Caenorhabditis elegans: one gene and its partner. The protein of the gene in region 2 interacts with the protein of the main gene of each other region in a biochemical or structural test. Each region holds a gene or a part of one and is shown on either strand. Other genes may lie near its edges. The genes, in order: frpr-16 and nlp-23.

Region 1 (4,131 bases), on a different chromosome or scaffold from region 2:
TTTTGGGATTTACAACTCAGGGCTGTCTGTGTCTCTAAAGATTGGTGGGTACTATCATTCAATTCACAATGATAAGTGCTCACGGACGGAAGCAGGTGGTGAATGATGAGATGTGTGTGTGTGCTCTCCGAAGAAACAATAAGATGATTTGAAGATGAATTGATACCTTCTTCCGTCCAATTCATTGGGGGCGGCTCCATGACCACGTGTGAGTGCAGAAACGAACAAGCTAGGCAGAAGATTATGAGCAAGAATTGAGGAAAAAAGGATGAAGCACCTTTGAAGAGTGACGTCTTTTGTCGTTGTACTCTTCTTCCAATTGTGACAAATTGGCAATATTTGGAAAATGGCATTTCGTGGAATTTAGAATGAATTTTTTGTAAAAACGATGGTAATAGGGGGGCCTCATATATTCACAGTGGGTCTTCAAATTCTGACATTTGATAGGGTCTCAAAGAATTTTTTGTGTGGTTTTTTCTCAAAGAGGAGTAGGACGCAGAAAAGAAACAATAAAAATTTGGTTTTCGAAAAGAAAAACAGAACTACAGAAAAATTTTTAAAAATCATATTTCGAGAGTTCCCATAATTTGGAATCTGTTTAAATTACTTTCAGATCCTGCAAAATTTTTCAAATGCCTGGAGAGGTGCTTGCTGTTCACAAAATATCTTTTTCTGGTTTCTTGTAAATTCGGCCAAATTTTTTTCTATTTTTTTAATATTTCAGGCTGAGAATGTGAATTATTAGTTCTCAAAACTCTATTTTCATTTTCATTGGTATTATTTCAAGTTCATAATACAAACTGGAAATATGACAGATTCATTCACCCGTTTCATAATTGTTTGTTTGACAAAAACCGGGACCAGATATCTAAAACATAAAAAGAAAACAAGTATTCAAACAAATAAGAGTCTATTTCTAATTAAACAATTGCCGGAGCTTTTCTTGTTTTTGATTCAGAAACAGCTCCAGATGAGTTAACTGGCAAGTAGGTCGAGCATTTTACATCATCCAGCCTTTGGCGACATCTGAAAATAGTTGATAAATTGAATGAAATTCGAATTCTAAGATATTTGTCGAAATCCTCACTTCTTTTAATCCTCTTTTTTATAATTCACATTGCGAACGTGCAACTTTGAAGAAGTGAGGGTGAAGTTTATTTATTTAGTTACCTGATGATGTCATGGAATATTGTTCGAAATTTCTCCGAAAATCCGTAGTATATGAAGAAAGTGCTTGACGTATGGAAGATTATCAAAAAGATTGTGAACTCGGCGAACACTTCCCAGTAGAAACTCTGAAATTTATAAATTATTTATTCAATAGTTCAGGAGTTTACAACTTACGGTTTGTGTAAGGAATCCTCCAAAAATACTTTCAGCAACTTTGAGAAACATTGAGAATAGATGGCAGAACGCGAAGAAAATGGTTACCACTAGCAGCATTACAGTTGTTTTCTGATCTTTTCGCTTCTGAACGGCCAAGCCTGTGATAACCTCGTCGCTTTCTTGAAGTGCTCTGATGACATGATAATTGGCGATAGTCATGATAAGGAACGGAAGGAAGTAATCGAAGATTACTGATAATATGATGAAGTAGAACATGAAGTACCACCAGTGTTTCTCTGTATCCAACATCCACATTTCAGATAGATACCCGTCTCTGCAAATCAAATTTGAGATTAATAATCGAGCGTCGTAATAAATTTTCTCCTTAATTGTCCAAAAAACGTATCAGGTTAACAATTGTAATGAAAATTTTGTAAAACTACCCTGTGCGATTAGGTAGCACAGAGTTTAGCAACACAGAAATTAGGTGATAGACAGGCAGGTATGTTTTATGAAAAACTTTAAAATATTTAAAACTTACCCAATTTTATAATCGAAAAATCTTGGAAAATTAAACACTATGGAAAATATGATAATGAAAATTCCAGCTTTCATTGTATTCCTGTTTGTGCATAATACTTTTGCCTGAAAATATACAAATTTAAATTCAAGACTTAAAATTTAGAATTTACCTGAAGTGGTCTACATACAGCAATCCATCGTTCAATGGTTATAAGTACCATTAGATATAAACTACATGATTTTGTCATCATACATAATGGATAAACATATCGTGTACTGTAAGCAAAGAAGCTCATATGAAACGAATATTTTTGCCATTGGTCCTGCCTGAAATCTGATGTTTGATGTGAAAAACATTCCCGAGAGACTTTCAATAAACTCACCAGAGTGGCAGAAAAACAAGAACAAAAATGGGAGTTATCAGGATGAGCAGCAGAATGTCAATGAGTGAGAGAATAAGAAGAAGAGTGCCAACCTGAAAGAATTTTTTGAATTTTCTGTAAAACTTTGAAATTAGATTACTGTAGATTTTCTCATCGGCGCTGTTCGATAAACTAAAAATGATGCAAAGTTTCCAAGAAGTCCAATGAAAATTACAGGTAAATACATCCATGATTTTAGCTCGTAGAACTCGTACCGATTCATAATGTGTTCAAAAGTGTGAAGATTCTGTAAGAAAAGGAAGAAAGTTTGGGTGGGTGGAAACGGAAATGAAAGAAAAAACCGAAGAAAAAACGGATAGCGCTTTAGAAAATGGGCAGCTGAGGGAGGGGATAATTTATTTTATTCATGGATCCACAAGAGGTGTGAGTTGTGGAAAAAGGAGAAGAAGAAGGTGAAACTTTTTGTACTTAGAAGACGACCAGGAGACCAATAGAAAATTGAGCAGAATAAGGATTCAATTTGGAACAAAAAATGACGATGCATTGAATATTCAAACGACTGCACAAAAGTTCAGAATATTTTAGAAATTTGAAATACGGTATTTCAATAAAATAATGTTTTGAAATTATAATTTCAATTTTCTTTATGGAATATGTACGGGGGTGACTTTTATAAGGAAATTGGGAATGGAGAATTGATTTTAATAATCTAATAATTTGAAACTACGATAATTTGTTTATTCAATTCAATCATGACTCAGGTGGAAGTTTCGAATGATTTCACCATTGAAACTTTATTGAACTTTAGGGTTTTATATATACTTTACTCACATTCACTCTACATAATTTAGTACCAACTGAGCACAATGCAAACTTCCATTCGAAAACGTTTATCAAGAAACGGCATTTGTTAAGATTCATCGTTAATTTATTTACAGGCAGTCCAGTGAAATAACCTTTCATAATAGTTCTAGCCATAATTTTTTCAATGTGGTCTTAAAGTAACTATGTTATGCTTTTGTTCTACTCGAGTACCACTTAAGTGATGGGAGCTTAACACAGTTGCAAAAATTGTGAGAAATACAGAAAAGAGTTCCCGGAAGGAGAATTTATTTAGGTTTTTTCCGAAAAAATTGTATTTTATTGAAGCTTAACCTAACTCTTGAAATTGGTACAATAAGTCGTGTAAAACTAGCTCGTGTTGGGATCAAGAATCGTGTCAAAGAATCACTTCAAAAACACTGAAAATTTATTCGAAGAAAAAACATCGTAGAGTTTAATAGTTATATAGAAAATGCTTCTGGACAGCGGAATGTGTATTGAAAAAAGAGAAATAATGAGATCATAATTTGATTGAAAAGATTTATATATCCTGAACGTATGCCGTTCAGGGCTTATACAAATCTGTTGACATCAAACTATTGAATAGAATCAGGCGTGGAAAATGTTGATTCTCATAGAACTCAATGAGATAATTTGAACTTTTGAGCTCTCCACTAAAAGACGCATTGTTTTTTCTCTCACGGATCTTAGTGTTAGTTTTGACAGTTGAAATGTTTGAAAAAAGAGAGAAAAAAGACATGGAGGTTTCTGCTAAATACTTATTTTTCTTTTTTTGTGTCGTTTTCATTTTCAGCTCGTAAAAAGATAACACATGTGGCAACGAGGAAGAAAATTGATGAAGAAGAAGGGGAATGCAGTACATGAATCTTTCAAAAAGAAAAATTTGAACATTGACGTGTTTCCTGAAGTGAATGCGTTGGGGGAATTGTAGACGAGAAGAGCTGTCACATAAGGAAATATTGAGCAGGATTCCGAAAAGAGTTATCGGAAAAATGGGAAGGGTGGATTTAAAAATTGGTACGAAGTTTCTTGGAAATGGAGCAAAAAAGAAAATGCT
Region 2 (3,054 bases):
CGATTCCACCCTGAAATTACGGTGCTTGTTGCCATTTGAAGGAACTCGATTTTGGGAATTTTTGAACTTATACTTTCAAAATATCCTCAAATGAATGAATTTTTTAATAAACTTTCGCGAAAGTTTTTCAATATTTTTTTGTGGCGGTTCAAAATTTTCGCATAAAAATGGCCTAATTCGGACGGAAATTGAAATTTTGTAACCTATTGGTTGCCTATCCGCTTGAAATTTTAAACTTAAAAAAACGATGTAAATGTGCAAATTGAGTCAATAATAAAAAAAAAAAATTTTTGGGGATTTAAGGCTAATTTACAAACAAACACATCTAGGTCTTTTTTCGAAAATTTGAACCGTCGTAAACACAATTTGATCGGTACCCTTTTCCTTTAACATTGTGTAAAGCTAACCTGAAGCCCAAGAGCTGAGGTCTGGACCAGAAGAATGTCCAACGCGAAGATCGTCAATCCGATGAAGACGATTATGGAACGCATTTCCGAGTTGGGAAAGTTCGAGAATAAAAAAGAATAAAAAACGGGGGTATAGTGAGCACAACTCGATCGGCCAGAATTTATATGCTTTTTGCTCTGTTACATCTAAGGCGGAGCAAAACGGTTAAACGACCGGAACCGGTGAATGTTTTTTTTGGAAAACGTTGCTCTCGGTTTTGTGAACTCATAAAGTAACATGCGAAAAATTGCACAAAAACTACTGCTTTACACCCACAATGATTTGTTCTCTGGAAACGTGGGTTTCAAATTAGAATGATAAAAGTTCCTTATTCTAGTGATCAGTGATGATTACTCATGTCTTTGCTATCATTTCATACAGATACTTTATTTGATTCACAAGTAAAAATTAATGTTTGTAGAAATTCCAAAAATTATTTACTCCGAGAAATCATTGCGGTAAAGAGGATAATAGCTCTCTGCAAATGGCATTGATCGCTTTCCGCGGTTCCATCCAGCTGCAAATGCACGCTTCCCTGGGCGCATTCCAGCTCTGCCAATTGCCATTGATCGCTTTGCTGGCCGGAATCCTTGACGACTGATATAAAGACGCTTCTCCATAGTTAGTGGCTCCGGTTCTTCATCGGCATAGATCTCATCTTCGTCGTTTGGGATAACAATCATAGGGGTCGCCAAGTCGACAGCATCATCTTGGTCTAGGTCATTAGAATCTAAAAGTTGGGATTCGTAGGAATCATCTTTAGACGTTGGATGTTCCTGAAATGTTCATTTGCTACAATTACATAAAATGATAAAATAAGTAGCTCAGTTCATATGAGCTCACCGAGTAAAAACCCAGCTCCAAAGCATGAGCTGAGACTCCAAGAAGTGCCATCCAAATGACGAGGTGAGCTGCCATTGACTTTGAAAGTGATATCAGGTGGGACTGAGGACATCCTTCTGCTCGTCTTTCTTTTTATAGCACCTATTAAGAAAACGTGGTCTTGTAGTCCGGAAAACTGACACTACGATATTTTGGAGGATCGGATTTTTACGAGTTTTTTAACGATTTCGTAAAGGGACTACACTTCTACAATAGAATACAACGACTATAGGTGTATCTAGGAACTAAAAACAATTTTTTTTGAGAAGTTTAGAAATTTGCTCATCTGAGCACATTTTGGGTACATACATTCAAAATTCCAATACCTCCTCATCAGTGATAAAAAGGTCAAATGCGGAAAAGCCTGGAAGAACTGCGGAAAAATTGCCACAGATTTGGGTTTTATAGGCGGCTAATTATAATTTAATTTTGGAATTGGACAATCTGATTTCCCTTCAAAATATTTTTTTTCTTAACAATTTACTGACGACGAGCTGAAGATGATACTATCCCACGTCACTGATGTTTTTCCAACTAGAAAAAAAAACGTTTCCATAATGAGCTGAACATCGATCAAAACAACAGGGTACCCCTCTGAGAATTTTTTAATTCAGCTTACACAAAAAAAAATTGCGAACCGGCATACATTTAGTACAGTTTTGAATAACAGTAGGCAGTGAGTTTTTGCATTTTTTGAATTTTTGAAAATTTTTGAAAAAAAAAAGGTTTCAATATTGTCAGTGCGATTACATATAGAATTTATTCAATTGTATGGAGACAATTTTTTGGAAGGCTAAAAGAAAAAGAGCAAATTTTAATCGGACCCATACGTGCCTTCAAACTTGGCACACTGGTAGTGGACACATGGCTCAACAAATTGATTTCAACAAAATTTTTTGAACTGACCTACATGTTATATTAGTAAATCTGACTTTATATTGCATAAAATCCCCGATCAAAATAGTTTGTGATTCATATTCACCCTGTCTGAAACTTCTTTCCGAACCATTACTCTCTGAAACTGGGCTCTAAAAAACTCTAAAAAACAGAACACGATTTCATTCCGGTAATCTGGCTGTGTTTGTACATAAAGTATCAGTGATGATGACGGTGAATATTACAAAGAGATCGATTCAAATTAGTCGGAGCAGGTTCTCTAGATTATATAGATTTCTGGAACGTGTTGTGGGAAGACCTCCTTCATGTCATTGCTTCTCTTTCCTGGCCGGAATCCTTGACGACCGTAGGCCATTGAGCGCTTTCCTGGCCGGAATCCTTGCCGTCCATATGCCATGGATCTCTTTCCCGGCCGGAATCCTTGTCTGCCGTAGGCCATTGAACGCTTGCCCGGACGCAGTCCCAATCTTCCCATTGCCATTGATCGTTTCATGATGAGATCACTGGAAAATCAGCAGGTTTTGTTTTGCACAAGCCAAACGAGGCTTCAAAGTTACCTAACATCCACAGTGTGAAAGTTGTCCATGCTCCGTTTTCCAGGGCGGAATCCGCTTCGTCCGAGAGCAATGCTTCGTTTGCCCATTGCTCCTTCAGTGAACTCTTCCTCTTGTTTCCATTCATCTTCATCTTCAGAGTCGTACAGTTCGGGAGAGTTCTCAAGGACAACCACATCGACAGCCTGAAAAACTTTCAAAGTAGAAACCAGTACAGATGCTACTGGCAAAGATCCACTAACCGATGATTCGTCAGGACGATAGACCTGAAGCG

The links.
Region 1: the proteins of nlp-23 (region 2) and frpr-16 interact in a test that uses a peptide from one of them, tested with the Caenorhabditis elegans proteins (one large-scale study listed by BioGRID).

The regions. Positions count from the first base shown.
Region 1 is NC_003280.10:6,028,690-6,032,820, forward strand, and holds frpr-16 (G-protein coupled receptors family 1 profile domain-containing protein), read right to left. Parts: upstream 2,518-4,131; 5' UTR 2,494-2,517; coding exon 2,371-2,493; intron 2,324-2,370; coding exon 2,232-2,323; intron 2,176-2,231; coding exon 2,019-2,175; intron 1,972-2,018; coding exon 1,868-1,971; intron 1,661-1,867; coding exon 1,345-1,660; intron 1,296-1,344; coding exon 1,171-1,295; intron 1,027-1,170; coding exon 921-1,026; 3' UTR 802-920; downstream 1-801.
Region 2 is NC_003284.9:2,341,574-2,344,627, forward strand, and holds nlp-23 (Neuropeptide-Like Protein), read right to left. Parts: upstream 1,387-3,054; 5' UTR 1,366-1,386; coding exon 1,291-1,365; intron 1,224-1,290; coding exon 885-1,223; 3' UTR 818-884; downstream 1-817. Other genes in the region: nlp-22 (Neuropeptide-Like Protein), read right to left, coding at 1-10, 408-491; nlp-2 (Neuropeptide-Like Protein), read right to left, coding at 2,486-2,729, 2,784-2,965, 3,023-3,054.